Linked DNA regions of Drosophila melanogaster. Changing the gene in region 4 together with the main gene of any one other region gives a genetic interaction. Each region holds a gene or a part of one and is shown on either strand. Other genes may lie near its edges. The genes, in order: Ptp10D, fog, Lar and Ptp52F.

Region 1 (4,986 bases), on a different chromosome or scaffold from region 4:
CCAGCCTTATCGATTGCATCACTCAGCTGAGTTGCACACATCGAGGAATCGGCAATGCAATTACTTATTATGCAACACAGCTCGAAGTATCAATTAAAAATGCCAGGCATGCAAAGTATTTAGACAAATTCCTTGAAACGAAAATATAACTATCTGTTAAGTTTGTTATATTTAATTATTCTGAGTGTACAGGGTATAAATATGTCATCATCTTCTGTTAAATGCATTCTACTTCATATCTGCACAGCACACGACTTGAGATGCAAAATGCAAAATCTTGTTCGGTTATTGTTTGTTACTCTTGCTTTTGTTTGTTGTTTCCTCAAGGTCTTTGATCGGATTGGAGTTTGTTTGTTGCTTTGTTTGTTTGTTTGTTTTTAGTACTGTGTCCAGTGAGGCAAATACATTCGCATAAACAATGGCGAAAAGCAAACACGATGCGAAATAATTGAATTTAATTAACATGGGAAAGACCACAGACAAAAGTGACGAAGACGATGATTTCCATGTGGGCGGTTTAATTCGAGGCGGGGGCGGGGTCGTCACAAATAAATAATTAAATAACTTCGGACAATGTTTGCAGAACCTTGTCGTTTCGATAGCCCTCGAATTTAGAAAGTTATTTGTGCACATTTCGAGGTTATTGTTGTTTATCATATCTTTTGAACTCCTATCTAATTTTGCATATTTCTCTTGTATTGATGTATCCTGAATAATTATTATTATTATCCTGAATAATCGTTTCTCCCAAGCTAAGATTCCGAAACGGGTAATTCGACGGGCCTATAAATCCACCCGCTATTGTGTGTTTTGGCCATGTTTTTGTTGGCCCTCTCGCTTACCTTTAGTGTAAATGCTGCCAGAAATGCTAAACTCCAGAGCCAGCGATGTTGTGGAACGGCTTTTTGCCTTTTGAGCCGGATTCTAGTAGTGGCTTTACTTAGCTGGTACAACATTTTGGGGCCGTCGTTTTGCTGTTTTCGTTGTTGTTTTCCTCTCCGCCTGGCTCTCTTTTGTTGCCTGCTTCTTGTTTTATTTGTTCCTATGTTGTTGTTGCTTTGGACTTTGCAATTTATTGTGCGATTTTTGAATTGGGCTTTTCGCTAGTTTCTTTCGAATTCGGGCATTTTTAGCGCGAGTTTAGTCTTTACTTTGATTAAATGCATTGTTTTCACAGTTTTCCCGTTAGTGTGGTGAAATTTTGTAAATTTTTATCCTGAATCCAATTGCTTGCAATTTGTTGGTTTAATTTGAATTGATTAAAACATATTCTTGTTTTGTTTTTGTTTGTTTTTTATTTTGTGATCTGCAAGAGAGTATGAATTAAAAATAACTGAAAGAGTGATCGCAAGAGGGAGACAGCTAGATAGTGCCGCTGTCCTGCTCTCTACCTGCTCTGCTTCCTCTTCTGCTTATCCAACACTTTGCGCTTGCGCCGAAAGCTTCAGTTCCTATTTTTTCATATTTTTCTGCGACTTGTTTCTATATTTCTGCACAGTGGAACTAGGCAAATGCAAATTTGATTGAACATTTGAGATTTAAAAACCACTGTTAAGACTTTGCTTAATAAATCAATATCAATTATTTTACTTATCTAGCAGTAAAGTATAATATTGAAATACCCGTTCTACTTAAGTTTTCATTCCTGGAACTGTGTGATTAAGCAATGCATTAAATTCATTTAAATCTAATTCGCAGACAAGTGCTAATTAATTGCACTGTCTTGTGCAGTTGCAAAAAAATACTGCTGATCAATAATTTAGCCTGCGCTGACGTCATTGAAATATTTAAAATATCGCAGCCAGCAAAAAAACCAAATAAATATGAAGAACAAATAAAACTAAACGTCTGAAAACCAGTTTTGCGAAATCAAAACGATACACGGCACAAAATTCAAATTGTATTGACAAGTATCATATCTTCTGGAAAATTAAAGATGTTGTCCTTGTATCTTTTGAATAGACTTGTAATGAATTGGTAATCCTGCTGTAGGACTAATTTAATTTAGGAGTTCCCTTTTAAGCTACTCTAATTTTGTTCTGTGTATGTTTTGTTATTGTTGCACTGTCTTGTTGTTGCTTTCTGCGCTTGGCAACGTTGTCATGCAGAAAAGACCTTCAACTTTGTTGCAAAGAGAGGAAGACAGAAGAAGAGCAGAGCAGATTGATTTGATTGATCTTTTTCCTTCTGGTCGAGAGAGAAGAGCAAGAGAGAGAGAGAGGGAGAGAGGGAGAGAGAGAGCTTTATGATCTCGGCACATAAAACACAAAAACAAAACAAGTTTTTAAAAACGTATTTCTTCACCTCTTATTTATTGTTAAATGTGGGACAAGTTTTTTTAATGCGACTGGAAATTTTTCGCAACTTATTGTCAGCATTAATAGAGATTTTATGAAACAAGCCAAAATGATCCCCCAAAATTGAATGCCGTCAGAGAAACAGGAAGTGGAGAAATTTGCCGCACAACAACAAAATATTCAAATGAGGCTGCGTGTGAAAGAGAGAAAGCAGCGGCATGCCAAAAAACGAAATAATACATAAAAAAGCTGCGTAGGTGTTGCTTCTACCTCTCTCGCTCTGTGTCTGTCTGCCCCCCTCGGCCAACATTTTTTGTTATTATTATTGCACACACATACACACACACACACAAACAACTCTCAATTTCTGCTTTTACTTTAAGCTTTATTTCAGCATTTCTTACGTTTTCCACTGCGTTTTTCTCAAATTTTGCTCATTCGGCACGCCACTAAAAAAAACCAAAACATTTAAATATATACACCGTTAATTTGTGTATTTTATTTACTTCTATTCTGTTGTTGTCGTTGGTTATAAAAAAAATAACAAAAAACAAACACAGGCGCACGCACACTTACACGTACACGCAGGCACGCGACGCAAAGCACAGACACAAGAAAAAAGCGGAACGGACAATCGACAAATTTTGCGTTTTTCGAGCGTTTGCTTTGCGGCCCGCCTTAACAGATTTCGCGTCCGTACCGTCCGCACTCCGGTTCGCTCTTCACCACACTGAATTGGAATCTGATTCAAATCGGATTCGAGTCCGGAGTCGAATTTGGAATCGGAATTGGAATCGGAATCGGAATCGCCAACGCTCGTTTCACCTGTAGAGCTGGACAAATAATCGATGACCCAGCGATGGTATCGATAGGAACCTGCGCGGCTTCTATGTTTCGCTTGTAACTGTCAACTATTTAAAAGCAGAATTAACCATTACTTTGCTGCGCGGTTATAAAATAGTTAAATACAATTAAATTTGTTGCACTTGATTCTTTTTAACGTGAACCAAGCATTGCGGCAGTAGTACTTCGGCCATTACAAGTCCGAGCTCCGTAATTCTTATTATTCAATTACTCACACAAAATGTTAGTCCAAATGGACATCTGAGCCATGGGCTTAGTGAGCCAAGGCGATAGGCTGTATATGTGTACCCAGACAGCATGCACAGCGAAATGTTAACAAAGAAAACATTTAATATTTTATTATTTATCCCGCGCAAAACCGATCTGACCAAACTCAAGGTGTTTTTTGTTTCCGAATGCAATCGATTATAATCGATAGTTCAAACTCACCTCTGAGGGGAGTTAATTCGCCGTTATTCGGCTGCAATGCGTGCGCGCAAGGCAGATATAATGTGGCGCGCATTTCAAATCAGCTTATAAAAAAGTGTAACATTCCAACTCCTGAAAATAGGAAGTAACTTCATTGATTGAAAACACTTCCATCTTCTTTTATATAATTTATTATTTATTAAGGTTTCATTTGCATGAACTGTTACTGGTTATTATAATTAATTATTGTTAATTACAGGCTATGTTTTAATTGCTAGAGATTAGCAAGTTCTAAAAATTACATTACACATTATTATTCTTATACAGAGTATACCTCTTGACATTTGACATTACAGTTAAAACTAAATTACTAAAAAAAAACAATTCAAACTTTCATTTTTATTTGGACATATAACAACGCAAGGAAAACAAACAAAAATTAAATGAAAGGATAAGCCAAAAGTGTTTAAAGAGCACAACTCGTTTGAACAAACACTGAACGATTCGCTGGGGAATTAGCATTGGACTTTTAATTTAATTACACACTAGACAAACCGAGTTATAATTAAAAATACAAACAAAAAATTGAGCTAAACGAAAAGTTAATAGCATATATGTATGCATACATTTATAGCTAGAGGAATTTCGCTATAAAACAAAAAATAACGAAACGTGTTCCCCCCCGCCTCCCGCCTTCTCTGCGCCCATCACCAACCGCCGTTCCCCCAAACCCCCCGAAACCACCCACCGCCTCATATTTACCACTAGAACCACTTGGCCGAAAAAAAAATCATATATTCCCTCCGATACGCCGGTGATAAGAACGCAACGCCAAGGACAATGGCAAAGGCTTTGATAACAGGTCGGAGCGAGATGGGAATATGTCTCGCTCCCTTTCTGTGAGTATTGAACTACAGCCAAACTTCGCTAGTACGAACTTCAAAAACACTTTGAAATTTCAACTTAATCATATTTTGTCCAGTAGACATTATAGAAGTGTAACATAGATCAATTAAAATGATTATATTGTATTTAGCGGATTGGATTTTGGATGACAAACTTTTTTTTTAATTTTGAACACATTTGTAATAACTACAAAGTTTATAAGGATATGGATTTGGGGTATGCTTATATGCTTTGTAAAGTTCCCAAAATTAAAACTGTTGAAAAATAAAGCTGCGCCTGGAAGTGTTTTTATAGATTACAAAGGGATATCGAAGGAGATTTGTGATATAAATATATATACATAAATATATATATATAAAAATAATATGCTATTCTTCATAAAATAAAAAACCTTTAATAAAGTCTCCAATTCTGAGACTGAAGAGTTTGACTTGGATTAGTTTGACTGTACATATGTAGTCCTCTTTCTTTCTTCGAGCGAGACGGCAAAACTAAAAGCGAGCGTTTAATT
Region 2 (4,825 bases), on a different chromosome or scaffold from region 4:
CGTATATTGCCATCGGTTTTTGGTTTTCGGCTTTTGGGCCCTCAGGCACGTACTGCCCTATGGATCGACCGTTTAATGCTGTTTGCCCCGATGCAGCTGAATCAATTTTACCACGGCTGCATAGCCATGGGCACAAGGGACTCAAGAGCCTCGAAAATAATTTCGTGATAGATTCGTTTTTTTTTTCGGTTGCTGATTTCATTCCACGTTCCCGGGGGGGTATCAACATAGGCATAAATATATGTATGTCCGGAAGACAATAGCTGTATAGATAATTTGAATCGGATAATTATTTTAGGAGTTATGGCTGAGTGACGGCTATCTGATAGTCGAGGCAATCGAAGCGAACTCTATCTATATAGTATTCATACATATGTATGTATACGTACCATCACAATACCCGTAATTTAATTTTCGTGCCGTCTGTAACACTTTCTATTGCTGATAATGACTTTTGGAGCATTTTGCGGGCGTTTTGGAACTTGCACAAAAAACATTTTGTAATTCATGTCTGCGCAAAAACAAATAAAAGAACGAGTCCACGGAAAAATTTACTAAATACACACATAAATATGGCCATTTTTCTCAGTGTGCATGTCAACAATTTCCCAGTCACTTGAGTGCTTGGCCACCCTTCCAGCTCTTTATTTTTTGGACAGTCGGTTAAATGCAATTAACTTGGTTACACTTTCATGCGGGAATAAAATTTTGGTACCGAAATTCGTTCATGGTTTGCTTTTAGTTTTCCATTTTAAGCCGCAATATATTTTGCGTCCAGCGGAAGTGATCACTTTGCCACATTGGCGCTGATAGTCACCGCGTGACTTCATCGGCATTATCATCATCATGTCCATTACCAGCGAACTCATGGAACTCACCTCTGTAAACATAATCGTGAACTCACTTGTTTGGCAAATGTTTGAGAGCGAACCCCGATAAGACACCTAATGCGCCTCGAATTGGTGTAGTTCGATTGTTTTGGTTGCATGATGACACTAAGGTCAGTTGTCATCCATTGTGGTCACGTCGTGAAATTGGTTTTTGCAATAACTAGTAAGGCGCTTGACCAGATTGAGAAATGTGCACGTGTCTATTGTTGTTCAAGAAGTGATTAAAAATGCTTTTAATATTTATCAGTTCGCTTTTAGGGAAACTATACCTACTCGTCAGTCAATGGCATGAGCCCAAACATATTCATGCTGAATCCATTTGGACGCGTAATAGCTACTTCGAAAAGCATTAGACTAAATACCTCCCGATTTGGTCATTTAAGATCTCAAGAGCCAGCTCTGTATCTGCAGAATGGCTAGATTTCCCACATCCGCAGAGTCAGAAGGTCAGCATCGGGCGTGAGACCGGAAAAACCGCTAGGATAAGCCCACGAAAACGAGACATCCTGATACCCAGGAAATAATGAAGCAGGATAATAAGGAGTACCAGAAACGAGATACTGTGGGTTTCGAATCTGTTATCCAAATTTTCTGGGCTGTATACATTTCGCTGGCTTCCTTTCAATTTAATTTGCATTAAGAAACAAGTTTCGCAGCGCAAAGTAATAATGGGTTATTCGATGGGCATTATAAAACACACATAAACGTTAAATAAAAATACATACAATCCACTTACTTTTGCTGTTTTATATCCCAAAACAAAGATGCCGAAGAAGGTGCGCTGCTTTTGCTTTTAGTTGCTTCTTCTTTGTCTTTTCCCCACTTTTGTTTTTCTTTGATTGTGGGTTAATATCAAGTTGTTGTAAAAATAAATTAGCATACAAATAAATAATAAACACCACAAATTGGCTCGTTTTGAATTTCGATTTGATGGCGGTTGAGCTTAATTTTTTGTTTGGTTTATTAAGAATTTTATATGTATGTGTTGATTGGCTTGCTGGTAAGAGCCAGTTCAAACTTGTAAGATACTAAATTTTTTTCAGTTGCTTAAAGTTTTCCCGTCGCTGGCTGCCTTTCATTTTTCGCTGCAGTTGTTAGGCTCATTAGGACAACACGGTTTTGTATTCGATTTTGTTGATTTATCTATTTTATTTCTCCAACTGTATCACATGTATTATCATATAATTCACAAAGACTTTTGCGCACACGAAAAAAAAACACACTACAACAAATCGACTTCAAAAGGTATCAATGGTAACATCCTGTTTGGGAAAAACGAAAGAGAATTATTTTGTATGCAACATTGAGTGCAATTCAAAAATAATGCCTACATGTGCACCGAAAATAGCTTAAGATTGTGAAATATTGTAGATATTTAATATATATCATTGTGAAATAACGTTAACTAAATATTTATAACTCAAAGCTAAGCTTCAAATTATGGTTGGTACTAGTATTTTAAAGTTGATCTCGGGTTTTTCAGTAGGCGAATCTATATGTACGGCGCACATATATTTTTAAGATTATAAATTATCGGACGCCTGTTGCTGTAAAGACAACAACAAGTACAACGACAACTGTTTCACAATGTAGTATAAACACAAAAGCGTAGTATATTTATACATGCCTCGTAGTATGTATTTTATTTTATTCTACTTTATTTTCACTTCGTTCGTTCTCTCTTTCCTGTTTCCTTTTACAGATAAGCATTCGAATGTTTTTTTGTTTTGTTTTAGTTTAGGTTCTTGTTCAAATTCAAATTAAAATCGGGTCAAATTTAGATAAAATAAAAGCACACGAAGAAACGTTTTTAAGGGACACAATCAGAAGATATTTATGTATATTACAAATTTATATTCCCATGTTACTATTTGCTTTTAAGTTATATGCGCCACGTTTTGACCGATTGCACATGTCTCTTAAATATCGAATTTATGTTACAAATTCAATCGAAATGATAGTGTTACTTTACTTTTTTCATTTGCTACTATTGTTGGTGATTTTTATCCGCTTTCTTCCCCCCTCATTTCTTTTAAGTTTTTTTTTTTGAAGAGACTGTAGCGGGCGGACAAGAGAACACGCACCGTTACCGATCACGTTCACAGTTGTTTTTTGAATGAGAAGCGGCTTCGAAACGTGTCGTCGCAGGCGTCGACGTCGGCGCCGCAGTCGCTGCGACAGACAGAGAGTGGTCAGATATAAATATACATGTACTGTATATATGTATATGTACGCGCGTTCGACAATGATCTTAGCCGAGAGAAAAGAGCCGATGCGCGGCATTAGGGAACTCTTTTCAAAGAGCGCGCTGAAGCCGCGCTCAGTTTTCATTGCTCTTAAGTTGCAACTGCACAAAGAAATCATTTTGCTGTTTTGATCGTGCATTGTTTTGAGTATGTATGTCATTAATTTAAAACAAGAGAGAACGCTATAGTCGAGTTCCCCGACTATCAGATACCCGTTATTCAGCAAGTCCAAGTGGGACGAGACTTTTCAACATTTTTCACGAACATTAGTAGAAATTGGTGGGAAAAAATTAATTTTAATTCTCTAAGGTCTGGGCAGGATATATTGGGCGGTTTAAGATAGCATATCTTCGGCATATCTATAAATTGGAAAAACAACTGGTTTAATACAAAAAAATTAAATCATTTCTCAAAAGTGTGGGAGTGTCAGTTTTGGTGCATTAGAGTGGGAATTTTTATCATATCGATAAAAATTAACAAGAGTCATAGAAATATGGAAAACTATCAAAACATTATGCAAAGGTGTGAGCGTGGCAGTTTTGGGAGGTTTGTGGGCGTGGCATCATGGGGAACAAACTTTCGCTGCGTCTAATGTCTCTAGAATCTAGCTTTTATATTTTCTGATATCTCGACGTTCATACGGACGGACAGACAGACGGACATGACCAGTTCGACTGGTCCTGATTGATCCTGATCACGATACATATATACACATGTACATATACAAGTACATGTACATATACATATACATATATGGTTGAAAACGCTTCCTTCTCCCTGTTACATTCTTTTTAACGAATCTAGTATACCCTTTTACTCTTCTCGACAATTCTCTTTTCTTTTTTGTTTTTCCCATACATGATTAACATTTTCTTCTGTTATGTTCTCTTGTTCTCAATTAGGGAGATGCTCTCTTTTGGCCGCCTGCAAAGGATGATTAATGATGTTCTCTGCTTTTAATTTTTTCTGAATGCTGCTAGTTGTTCAATTTAAAAAGGCAGTACGGCTCTTCCTGGTAATTTTCCGTTGGCTGTTTGTTTCTATTTACATATGTACTATGTATGTATGTATGTACCTTATTAAATAAAATTTTTATTTTCAATTTTGTCCGAGTTCGGTAGACCCCTACAGACACTACTAACATTCGGAAATATGTAAGGCTAACTGGAGTGGCCGGCTTAATAAAAATATCTCGGAAAAGCTGGAAAGTCGGAGATGGATTTCCTCGAAACCTAATTGAAGTTGATAGCAGTCATGGTTTTGTTCCCCGTCATCATCATTGGGCACTGAATCGCAAATCGCACTTCTTGGTAATTTTAGCCGCCACTTGAGCCTGTGCCGGTGTTTAGGCCAACATAATGGCCAATTAAGGCCACTTTGTCGTTTACAGCGTTTCAATTTCGATTTGATTAAGGTGAATTCCCTTTATTTTTTATGCAGTGATTCCGGCTAAAATTCATGAATAAAAGCAATTTTATGTAGATGATATAGATCATTACTTTAAAAAATAAATTTACAGAGTTAGCTTAGGGAACTAAAAATGACCACAACTAAACTAAGGGTATTTTGCCAAGTGTACGAATTGGGATCATCCCCATTTCCCTATTCTCTCATTCTTCGCCGTCTTCCCTTCGTATGGACTTATCGATGCGATGGTCAAGTGTGCGGGGCTCGTCTTCGGTCATTCGC
Region 3 (4,688 bases), on a different chromosome or scaffold from region 4:
CTGCTGTGTCGTTTACATATCGTTTTTTGGCCCTCATCTCCTTTTTCTGGGCCACGTCGCGCTGTCTAAACGATTTACGACACTTTGGCCAACTGCCTCACGCACACATTTGCAATATTGTTTGTTTGTAAGTTTGTGTGGGTTGTGCGCGGGCGAGTGTCTGTGATATTAGCATGTAACGAACACACACACACACACACACAGATGCAGGAACAGGAGTTAACTTGGCCAAAAGGCAACACAAAATGCCGCACACGTTCGTTTTTATTATGTTAAATGTCTCCTGGGGCAGGAACATCAGCATCTGCGAGTTGTTTCCATCTGTTCGGTGGCTTTCTGCCTTTTAGCTTTCCTCCCTTCCTTTTGTCTTCTGACTTTTGGTAACTGTCACTTGGCTTGTTACATTTCACATTCACTTAGACTGCAGGATTAAATCTGGAGCGCGCCAAAAATCTAGCTAGCCAGGAAAATTAGCACAGGCCGTTTCTCGCCTTTTCCTGCTCGGCACTGCGCTGGTTCGCCCTTCTGCGAAATATCCTGCCAGCTCGTCCTTTCAGCCGATTTCAGCTTACTGCCCGCCGCTCCAGTTGAAACTGACGACTGGCGAACGACGGTCAAAGTCAATGGCGGGCTTTTCGTGGACGCGATTCGCTTTTCACCTTCGTCGACGGGCTCGGCGCCTAAAAGCCGAACCTTTCCGATTCACCCACGTCGAAAGCTCGTTTAGCCATCTCACCAGGCTCTCTTCGAGCAAGTCCTTGCTGAGAAGGATTGAGTTGCCTTAATCGCAGATTTGCTTCTCTTTGGTTTCATGTTCTAAGCCTCGCAGGTCTCGAATCTCGAAATTGAGTGAGTCTGTTTTGTTGCCTTTGAGCATTTAAAATGCGTTTACATTTCTCATATAAGCCTGTACTCTTTGCGTCTGCAATTCGAGTCCTTTTTAGTTGAGCTATAAATGTTATTACCCAGCAAGCACTTCACTCTAAGAGAAACATTGCTGGTTTTGCTATAAAAGCACTCAGTGATTATCTCAATGTTAAATAAATTAGCTCGAATCGAGCGAGCAGTGTAAACTGGATTTACCATTCCCATACATTTATAAGAATTAAATAATAATTTTTATAATGCTAAAGAAAATCCCAATTTTATATTAAATATAAAATATTTTTTGAAACTCATGCTAAAAATGATGTTTCGTAATTCCTCTCAGTTTATTTTACATTTTTTTCAAATTTATTTTATGTTATTTTATCAAATATTCCTTGCACTCAACTGTTCCATAACATTTTAAACTGAGTGATTTTTGAATGCTATTTAGAATCACTCCGATTTGTGTGCTCTTAACATTTCCCAGAATGGTTTGTCTATTCGATTGAGTTCTGAGTACAAAGTGAGTTCCTTTTGAGTAGCCATCCTTTGGTGTTTCTCTTCCATCGCTCGCAGCTTCGGCTGGCGAATTTCTCGGCTTTTCCGCTCTCCGGAAAAATCCACCACACTCGGCGCTCGGTCGGCGCATCCTCGGGCACGCTGAAGGACTCTTCGGGTCGAGTGGCGACTCACAAACGCACACACTGAACGCGAGGAAAACACGAGCATTGCTGCTAGCAGCCTTAGCCAATCGTAAAAGTTTTGTACGTATTTAGTACAATTTCGGGATTTGGCAGGATGTAACGAGCGTGTAAGAAACAGAGCGCGTCCTTCTCAGCCGTGTGTGTGCGATAATCGGGCAACAAGCAGCGCGACAGCAAATTGTATATTACACAAAATTCGCAAAAAATCCAACGAATCGTTTGAATCCAATTTCGAGTGATATAACATAACCACAGATCGTACTCGGTTATAATGCAATAGCAAAGAGCCGCAGCATTTCGAAAATCCGGCAAAGTGATTTTAGCCAAGTTAACCAAAAACCAAATCGTCGAACTCCTCGGCTTGCCTCGGTTCAACCCCCTTCAACCCTTTCTCCATTAACTCGTTGTTGCCGCTGTACTCGTACATATGTGTGCACTTGTTTTTGTGAACGTGTTTTGCCGCAAGCCGGTTAAAAAATTATTCCCATAATTACACCATCCGAGTTGCAGGCGAGGAACTTCCGCGAAACATAATTACCGAAGAACAACTGACGTAGCCGATAATACCTGGCGGATAAATCGGTAAAATCTAAAGAGAAAACAAACTCTGAAAATTATCAGAAGCCTGGTGTGTGGTGTGTGCGTGTGACCTGGAATTTCCTTATGAATATCGATATATATATGGACTTTATCCTTATCGTCCTGGCCCTGCTAATAAGAAACGGCAATCCTGTGCCGCTGCTCGAGATGGAGATTGAAACGATTGCCCCGGGGAGAAGGGGATTCCTTCGGTCTCCCCATCCTTTCTTCCGTAATAGTGTCGTTTCCTTTATTTGTCCTTTTATGTTTACCTACTTTTTCTTTTTGTGCTCCGTCGTTTCGTCGTGGTTTGGTTTGGTTTGGTTTAGTTTGCTCGCACACAATTGAAAATTCAATTGATTTACAAAATGAAGTTTACTGGTTGGGACGACAGATACTTTTTATCTATTTTCATTTGCAGTTTTACGAGCGAGCAGCTCTTTTTTCGGCCCGCTCCTTTTGGCCTCAAAGCGAAACGGTTGGCAATTTTTCACAGTTCTTTTTCGATTGAGGTCCTGGCGGGGTTTCCTGCAGTTTGGTGCGAAAATAACGCTGCGTCCTGCAAGGATTGTTGTGGCTGATGTTTTCGCTGCCTTCCGATTCGGGTGTGCCGAGAGTGTGTGTTTGTGATTGGAGCGGCCTAAAATCGTTTTAGGACCAGCTGCGAAGTGATTTTCAGCTAAGGCGAAAAAAGGACTGCAGTGTGTGTCCTGTGTGAGTGTGGGTCTGCAGATTGACATAGTTATGTCCTCGGCAAGTAATGGGAAGTTCTTGGCAAGAGCTCAAGAAAATTTAAGTTTGGCCTGGCCTTGCAAAGCTAAATAAGATTCTATATATATAGGTTGTTTTAAAGCCAAAATGTTTACTAATGCTTAAAGCTGTTCTCAAAATGAAGCATTTTTCAATTGACATTATCTGCTATTCAATATTTTCAAGCGAGTTCCTTATTCAGAGCCTTCTGCTCAATTCTCTAGTATAAAATATTATTTTTGAGTAAATTCTCAATAAAACTTATAAAAGTAAATATTCTGAAAAAAAGCCTTTCCAAGTGTTTTGACAAGTATTTAATATTTTCGTTGTAGAAACTCGTACAACACAACTCAACCTAAAATGTCTTTCACCACTTGCCTCAAGGAACTTTCCTCGTTTTTGGTGTCAAGTGTTTTTATTAGAAGCAGAAGCAGAAAGGAGAAAAATTGCCGACGAAGGGGCGAAGTAAAAATTTTTCCTTTCATTCCTTTTTCGATCCAAACTTGAAATGAGGTTTGAAACAAAAACGTTTTTTCTGCGCCAGTGTAAAATAATACGCATACGCCATGTATAACGAATACCCAAAGTAGGCTTCACAAGTGGTAAGGGCTACTTTCTTTGGCAGAAACAGAATCGAAAATCGTAGGATATGGTTGTTAAAAACTATAGGCTATTCTATGGCTTACATTAGCCTAATTGAAATTATATCGCTTGATACATCGTTCGCAGGGCTTGGGGTTAATTAGGTGCTGACCAAGTTGAAATTACTATGTAACTTGTTTATTATATTAACATGTGGTTGCTCCTATTGAATGAAAACAGTAGCTAGATATATATATATATATAGATGGATGGATTGATATTGATAAATGAGAGGGGGCTTAATTTGCTCTTTGCATTTCACAGCGACTCGAACTATCCCCACTCCCATTAGCCCTATGGGCCTCAGTTGGAGCCAAAGCAAAAGGACTAGTACTTCAATGGGCACCCCCCCCCCCCCCACCTTCCATTCTCACTGTTCAAACAGCGTTTTACCATTCGTTCGTCATGCCATCGTTGGCTATATAAAGGCGGCTGATCGGCCACGCCCACTCTTCTTTTTCGCCGCTTGTTGTTGACGTTTACAATTTGGTGTTGAAAACTTCAGCTGGAAATTGGGTAATACTCGTGATGATGGCGTTGGTTGGATGACTGCAGCAATCCTGCATTAAGTACCCTCCTGTGTCTGGATGTCGGTGTGTGTGTGTGTGTGAACGCGAAGGGGTTTGCAACAAAGAAATTTTAATTTATATAGAATGAGTTTGGGGGCGGCAATACCTCCATTTTCCACCACCTCTCTCTCTCCTTTTTTTCGGCTGCAGTCGTCGACATTCCGATGTTCGTGTTCTGTGCTCACAGTGCTCTCACTCACTCACTCGTTCGCACATGGAGACCGAAAAAAATCCAATTATTTTAAAACTTTTGACAACTGCAACAACAAGGCGTTGCAAGGCTATGAAAACAATAAGAAACTGACTGAACAGCCAGAGGCAACAAAAACAATATATGTGTATGTATGTATGTAGGGGAAAGTCGAAAGTCCGCAAAAAATCAAGCAGAAAAATGAGTGTGAGTGCTCGAAAGGGTTGCCAGCCATTATAACTTCACTTGAAAAGTTTAATTGATTTTTACAAGTGCATACATATACATACATACATACATATATATATATATATACGGAGATGGACGCAAAAACATGCATACGTACATATGCCACGGACCTACCTGCAGTCGTGATTCTCGTGATTT
Region 4 (7,588 bases):
CATTGATGTAGTCCGATCCCTCCGCATCGATGTCCAGAATCACGCGATTCTTGTCATCTATTAAATGGGAAAAAATGTGGTTTCCCATAATGGTTATTGCTACATTGAAGTTACTCACAAGGAAATATGTCCGCATAGCGATTCTTGTGGCAACCCAATTCGGAGGCGGAATAGCTGAGCTCCAAGGCCACAACGGTGATCTCCTTGAACTCCCTGGCCAGTTTCTCCGGCTTGGCAACTTCGGTATAAAAGATGGCAAAGTTCTTGGCAATGACATTGCCAAATGGATCCTCGATACCCTGACCAGAATCACGTTTCCTGCACCAAACGAAGTTAAGTTCTTTTTTCTCTCGTGAAGATTGCCATCGTTGACTTACCAGGCCAATCGCTTGCGCACCCAGAGAACCGTCAAACCAAGTACGAAGGCCAGCAGCAGGCAACTGCAAACGCTCACCAGGATCAGGGTCACCTTGATGGCCGCCTTGGTCTTAAAGTTGAGTACGGCGGCATCGCTATAACCAGATGCGGTGAACAGTCTCACCACAACATTGTAATCCGTGTCTGGTAACAAAGGTCCATTGCAATACGTTTTCTGAACCTCCGAACACTTGTCCAATCCGATGGTAAAAACAATTTCCTCATCGGATGTCACCTCTCCATCCCTTCGCTGACGTTGAACGGGTTCGGGATGCCAGCGCTCCTCGGTGGTTTGGTACTCCAGACTGCAGTCACCTGTGCCATCTGCGCCGGCCTCTTGATAGGATAGAACCTTTGGCCAATCGCTGCTGACATCGTATTTGAGGTGTGGAACTCCAGCACAGTTCTTTTGCGAGATCATCAGTGCCATCCACTTGATGTCGCCGGATGCGGATGTCATGATGTCGGCTGGAAGGCGAACAATGGCCGTTTTCGTTGGATTAGATGTCTCCTCGACATTGGCGCGCATTTGCTTGATAAGCTCATCACTCGGAATGGTGGGCACTGAAAGAGAAGATACACGAATGGGAATCAATGGATTACGGATTACTTTTCCGTTATTTCGATACTTACGTCCCGCTGGCGATTGCCAGCTACCCGGTACACTGCTGCTCAACTGTTCCACATCGCGATTCTTTACGGACACCTCAACCGTATAGTCGAACTGTGGCTGCATTTCCGTTTCCGTGTAGGACATCCGTCCCTGCTTATTCCCCGTGTCCAGTTCCACCCGCCGTTCAAATGAAACTGGAGCGAAGTTATTTCGTGTGCCATTGAAAGCCAGCTGGAAATACTCGATATCGCCATTGGACTTGCAGGGCACCTTCCACGTGATAGTCACGTTCGCTTCGTACACGGCGTTATTGTTCACCGGACCCTGGGTTAGTACGGTCAACTGGGTCACGCTATCGGATACTACAAGATACGAAATATTTACATTACTCATATTACTCATATAAAGATATTCCATCTATTCATCTTAACTCACCTGCTGGCAAAGTGATACCAATTACGGGTTCTGTATAGACGCCCATTCCGAAGTCATTTTGTGCCGCAACTTGCATCATGTATCGCACAGCTGGAGCCAGACCCGTGAAGTTTACACTAGGATCACCCTTGGTCTCCGACTTGGTGTCCTGCTCGACTATCGCGCAATCCGCGGGCACAAAGTAGCTGGCCTCGTGACGCATCAGGAATGCCTGGTAGTACTTGATGGGTCCGTTTGTGTAGGTGGGCGGTTGCCAGTTGAACAGCAGGCTGCTGACAGTGCTCTTCTCCAGCATCACACTCTCCGGCTGCTCGGGAACTGAAAACACAGATCAACTTACATATGAACTTCATATATACATATGTATATAATGTAGGTCTTACAGTAGGTTGTGGTGTGCATATCAGCATCGACAACTGGTTCGGAAGGTCCTGCCACATTGTAGAGTATTACTTTGCAAACGTAGGTGGCGTAGGGGGAAAGTGGACTTAGACTGGCATTAAAACCTGAGAATGGAATATGAATTAGAATAGCCATCTGGATACCGAATGACTGGATGACCAGTACACCCACCTTGTTTGCTATGTCCCTCCACATAACGCTCCGCGTATGGATTTCGCACCTGGGTGGTGGCATTGCACGTGAAGAGCGCAAAGATCGTCGGACAGGAATTGTTGTAGTCCGCATTGAAGGCGATTAAATCAATAAATTCGGAGCCAGCATTCTTCATTTCCAGCTTGACCTTCAATAAAATGCTTGCAGTCAGTAAGAAATGGTCAAATGGATACGAAATATACGTAAAATAGTCCTTAGTACCTTAGTGTAATCAACTATAGCTGCTTTGGTCTCCACACCAACCTGTCTCAGCTGACCATCGAGGTTCTCCTTGGTGTATGGGATTATCTGAATGATGTACACCTGACAGGCCAGCAGATTCTTGTCGAAAACAACCGTCGTATTCTGGGTGGTAATACTAAGTGCTTCAACCTCAACCAGCTTATCGTCCTCCATCCAGCCGGACAATCGGTAGCCATCGATGCAGAGATCGGCGTACTCGGGCGTCTTCCAGCTCACCTCCATCGAGTAGGCTTCTGCTTCCACGACGGGATCTTGAATCACAGATGGCTCTACAAGAAGATAATCATAGTAGATAGATAGATGTTGGATGAGTTGAAGCGCACTTGCACTCACGATCCTCGCCCACGGTGCTCTGCTCCTGGTACTTGGTGCCAGCGCTTCCATTTAGCTGATTGGGCACAATCTCCACCAAATATATTCCACACGGATCAAGGTCGTCGAAGATAGCGAATGTCTCCTCTGTGATCACATTCATAGTTTTGTTTTCCGATCGTTGAATGGGTCCGGTCAGCGTTACACTATAGTTAGCCACACATTTGGGATGATTTTGTGGAGAGAACCAAGTCCAATGCAACTGGGTGGGATAGGCGGTGGGACTGGGTTCATAGACGGCACTGACCACTAAACATTTGAATTATGGTGATTTATGGTTTACTTGGATAGCTGGTCTATCTAGTTGCACTCACACTTTTCTGCCGAAGTAAAAGTCTGAGAAGCCTTGGCCGTGCTGTTCTCGTTGATGAAAACCTGAAAGGTGTACAAATCACATCCTTGAAGATCGGTCAGGAGGTACTCCCTCAGCTTGCCATCGGAGGAGACATCGGTCCACTCGCACTTAACTGATGGGAAGAATAAAACACATATGTATTTCAAAAGAGGTTATAAGAGGAACCTAGAGTCTACCTTCATCACTGGGCGTATCGGGTGTGGTCTCCATTGGTGTGGTGGTAACGTAGTCAATCTCGTTCGTAGTTTCCGTACTGGGCACATCCGTGGTGGTATCCTGATTTTGATCCGTTCCGCAATCGTTGCGTTGCCACTTGAAGACATAGTTACTGATGCAGTTCTTCTCGGAGGGATCTCCCCACGTGATCATCGTGATGCCACTGGCTAGGTTCGTTACGTTCATGACGAGATCGCCGGGCTCCGCGTACTGTGTGTCCACATCGGTGGCATCCGTGTCCACCACAACGCTAGCGTTGTTTCGCGTGTCCAGGGTGATCGTGTGCGTTAGGCAGGCGCTTAAATTCACGAAAGTCTGAGAACTTTTATCGTTTAGCAGCTGAAAGGATTTGGTGTAGTCCGTCGCCTTTGCCGTGATGCCAAAGGACTCCACACAGGCGCGGTCGTTCGTCTGCCAGGTCACTTTGATGGTGTTCGCTGTGGCCACCACTGAGGTCACTGTGGTCTTGGGCTCTGCGATTAAAGATGATATGGTTTATGGTTTTCATAGTTAGCATTTTTATATAAACATACGCTTATATTCAGTGTAGGCATAGATGGTTTGGTCAGAAGGCGGTGGTTTGCCGGAGACATTCGAACGGAATGAAACCACCGATGTGTAGAAGGTGCAAGGATTAAGGTTTTCACTGGAAATCATAGGCATTATGTTAGTCCGCGATATCATTTCACTCAAAACATTCTACGAACCAAACGTGCGCTGCGTTGGCCTCGGTTTCCGATCCGGATCCATTGCGACAGATCACCTTATCGATGGAGTAGTCCGCCTCGTTGGAGATGCTAAAGCCGAGTGTGTAGACCGTAGAAACCACAGTCACCTCCACCTCTGGAATATTGGTAATACATATAGCTTTTTATAGGCTAAAACAAAACTGGATGCACTTAGGATTTGAAAAGTATCTTATATCAGTGTATCTTATATTAATATCATATTATCAGTGACATCCATATGCTTATTTTTCAAAGAGTAATACTTACTCTCCGCCAGTTCCTGGCTCTCACTCACTGCCACCAGGGAACCAACGGTTTGTCCTTGCACCCCAGCGATCCAAAGGATAAGGATTAGTGCGTGAATCCTTCGATGCGATTGCTTCCAATTTGTGGCTTCCATCTTAGGGCCTCATTGCTTCTGCTGCTTTTTGCGGTGAGTAATGATGCGTTATTAATTATTAATAACAAATTGTTATCGGCGGGGAGCTAATGCAACCGGTTCCTGCGCGGGATTTTCCGCGAAGCATTAACCTCGCCCAATTGCAAAGCACTTGGCTCGCATGCACACTGTTCATTTGTTTATAAACACAAAACACAACAAATAAGAGTTCACTGGACGTGGGCAAACGAAAGGTGATTGGTCATAAACAATTAGTGGCCGCCGAACTTTTGCATATCTCGCGATGTGGGAAACGATTCTGGATCTCCCCGAGTTGCTGACCAGCGCAACAAAAATTAAATGTAATACATACAACTTCCAGCGAGCGATTTATGATCATTTCACAAATACCACACGTAAGTGGAAAATGTAAAAAAATAAACGAAATGGTCGAGATACCAAAAAAAAAAAATAAAAAGGGGGTTATCTCAATGTCGTGGCTTACACCCAAAGCCTTTTAATGCGGCGGAAATTCATGAGAATGAAGTTGGAAACTCCAGCAATGTCATGTCGCAATATTCTCTGAATTTTTTGTTGGATTTTTTGGATCCCTAGAATCTTATCAAGCCACTTCACAGGCTGGAGAAGTGGCCAGCAGATATAGATACAGATAGTAATCTGGCTTGTTGGACAACCCAATAATAATCGAACAAAATTAACGACAGATTCGCTAAAATCGCAGAGAATCGCCGACGACGATCCTCGAATTCGAATCGCGGCTCTGTTTGCAATCCCATCACGCAGTCGCAAATGGAATGGGTATAGCAATAGATATATAGATATAGATATATAGACTATATTGCCGATATGCTGAGTGCGTCATCGAAGAGCTTGCTAATCGAAAGAATTCCGTACCCTCAAATTGGCAGCACTAATTACTAATTTCAGTTGTCGCTGCCGGCAACGGAAGCAAGCGAAGAAGACAGCTCTTCTTTGGAGCAAATAAAAAAAATGACACTTTCCGATCATTATTAATGGGTTTGGTTATCAGAAAGTGTGGCAATGGAACGTTGACAATTTGCCAATGTCTGTGCCCGATTGTTTAAACAAATCGCAGCGCGCCGAGGTTTTCCAAAACACCAAGTAAGCCAATAATAACAATTTAACGTTTACAAACGAACAAGCGGCCTTTATCATCGGCATATAATCATCAGAGTTGTCGGTCTGATAACAGCCATACGGTGCTGGCTCATAAATGGCTTTCGATTTCGCCAGTTAAACGCTAATGTGGCCAAGAGGATCGGCTACCGCAGGATTAGCAAGCATTGCTAAACTGAATCATATTTAACATATATCTATAGAGCCATAGAATTGGCTGATATAGCGGCTATATCGATATAATGTAATGCGTACAAAATGGCTGATTAAATCTCAAACACTGATAACACACAACGAGTGCCCAAATTTGGCAAATGATTTACATTATTCGGCAATTTTCCCAATGAGCGATTGAGATTGTGTACGATACGCTGCACTCACAGGTGACAGATGGTTGCTAATTGTTGTTGCTGTTTCGCGAATATTTGGGCGCACCAACTATGAATAACGAATGTGTGTGTGTCGCCCGAAAATCAGTAAACTAATAACCGTTTCCGCTGAGCGATTCTCGAATACTGAGCGCCAAAGGGAGCACTCCATAAATCGGTTGTGTTGTGTTCTGGCGCTGTGTGAGCGGTGATAAGGAAAGTTTACTCCCATCGCGAATGTGTGTGTAAGATAACAACAAAGTCGGTTTACAATTAGCAAACTGCAGTGTTGACTATCGAATTGGGATGTGTTATAAATAAATAGCAATACTTATATGGCATAAATAATTGGAAACCCATTTTGTTCACTCACGGATAGGCGTTGTGGTTCCGCAAAAAAAAAGCTGACGAAGGTCCATTTCCTTATCAGCATTTTAAATAGCGCGCCAATTTTTTAAGCTGTTCACACTGCGCTTGCATGGAAGTAGGGCTTAAGTTATGGCAACTCGTTCTTTACTCAATGGTTTCAGTCCTTAGGTCTTATATAAGATATAAAAAGTATTTAGAAGTTATTATACATATTTTTATTAACATTTTTCTACATTCCTAGTCACATCGATAGCTAATCGCTGTCATCGATAGTCCCGTGATGTTTTTTGAGCTGCTTCCACTGCGGTCACACTAATCGAAGCATTTTCGTCCGCTCGTCACTTTTCTGCGTAATTCTTTTCGTATATTTCGATTAAACATAAATAAATAAGCGTAATTATAAATATATGAAATACTAAATTGTTGTAAGTAACGTTCGCTGCATAATAAGAACAAACACCGAGTCGCCGCGTTGTAAATAGAACACCCAAGCAAAATGGATTTTTCGCAACCAACCCGTGTAATGGGCTATTGGGAGAAATGAAGAAAAAAAAACGTCATATGTACAAAACTGCCAATGGCAAAGTGTTAGTTCGCGCATTATGTACCAAGCATGTCGGTTGGAGTCGGAAAATATAATATACTATATGTGCGCTTGGATATTTGTCCTTTTTCCCCATTATGCATATTGCCTTTGGGACATTTCTTTCTCTTGGCCCCCTCTCTCTATCCAAGATGGCCGTCGTAACAGTATTTTCGTTCAAACTGTTGTTGTTATTGTGTTTGTTATTGAAAAGAGAATGAAAAAACAAGCGAAAGAGTTATGCAAATTATGCACAAAAAAAGTAGTGTGTTGAACAAAAAGACGATCAGTAAATAAGTGGAGAAACGAACTATGATTACATTTTATTTACAACCACCAGAAAGCGATGACACATCGAGTGCGTTGGTGTGCGTGCGCGAGTGTGTGTGTGTGTGCGAGTGACGATGTCTGTGGATTTTCGCGCATGTTTGGAGTCCTCCCCCTCGCCAAAAGTAGAATTGATCGATTTTTAGCCAAGTCGAGTCCCCGAACTGGCCGATTCCTTGCATATATGTACTTCCCGTTCCCCCATAGGCCAACAACACCTATTACTGGGCAAACCAGTTCTGCCAATGCACAAGAAATCTCGTTTTATTTTCTTCGTTGTGCTTGTGTAGTTGTTTTTGTTTTTTTTTTACAGTTTTCCGTTTTGGGCTTTTTTGCTGCGGCATTCTTTTAGATATTCAAGACCCGTTGCGATTTCCCAGAATGTGTGGAAAGCGCTCCTGACACTGCAA

The links.
Region 1: of Ptp52F (region 4) and Ptp10D, changing one enhances a phenotype caused by changing the other (phenotypic enhancement), as found in Drosophila melanogaster (one study listed by BioGRID).
Region 2: of Ptp52F (region 4) and fog, changing one suppresses a phenotype caused by changing the other (phenotypic suppression), as found in Drosophila melanogaster (2 studies listed by BioGRID).
Region 3: of Ptp52F (region 4) and Lar, changing one suppresses a phenotype caused by changing the other (phenotypic suppression), as found in Drosophila melanogaster (one study listed by BioGRID).

What each region holds. Positions count from the first base shown.
Region 1 is NC_004354.4:11,620,073-11,625,058, reverse strand, and holds the start of Ptp10D (protein tyrosine phosphatase 10D), read right to left. Parts: upstream 3,045-4,986; 5' UTR 2,874-3,044; exon of another isoform or gene 2,702-2,873; intron 1,307-2,701; exon of another isoform or gene 1,230-1,306; 5' UTR 957-1,229; coding exon 843-956; intron 1-842.
Region 2 is NC_004354.4:22,852,181-22,857,005, forward strand, and holds the start of fog (folded gastrulation), read right to left. Parts: upstream 3,015-4,825; 5' UTR 2,863-3,014; exon of another isoform or gene 1,627-2,862; intron 1-1,626. UniProt on the Drosophila melanogaster protein: Coordinates cell shape changes during formation of the ventral furrow and invagination of the posterior midgut primordium, by inducing apical constriction of cells in spatially and temporally defined manners.
Region 3 is NT_033779.5:19,604,929-19,609,616, forward strand, and holds the start of Lar (Leukocyte-antigen-related-like), read left to right. Parts: upstream 1-1,640; 5' UTR 1,641-2,153; intron 2,154-4,688. UniProt on the Drosophila melanogaster protein: Possible cell adhesion receptor. It possesses an intrinsic protein tyrosine phosphatase activity (PTPase). It controls motor axon guidance. In the developing eye, has a role in normal axonal targeting of the R7 photoreceptor, where it negatively regulates bdl.
Region 4 is NT_033778.4:16,172,260-16,179,847, forward strand, and holds the start of Ptp52F (protein tyrosine phosphatase 52F), read right to left. Parts: upstream 6,049-7,588; 5' UTR 5,913-6,048; intron 4,416-5,912; 5' UTR 4,395-4,415; coding exon 4,262-4,394; intron 4,110-4,261; coding exon 3,974-4,109; intron 3,913-3,973; coding exon 3,800-3,912; intron 3,740-3,799; coding exon 3,227-3,739; intron 3,163-3,226; coding exon 3,010-3,162; intron 2,945-3,009; coding exon 2,657-2,944; intron 2,593-2,656; coding exon 2,282-2,592; intron 2,208-2,281; coding exon 2,039-2,207; intron 1,972-2,038; coding exon 1,849-1,971; intron 1,784-1,848; coding exon 1,466-1,783; intron 1,393-1,465; coding exon 1,051-1,392; intron 982-1,050; coding exon 378-981; intron 319-377; coding exon 119-318; intron 58-118; coding exon 1-57.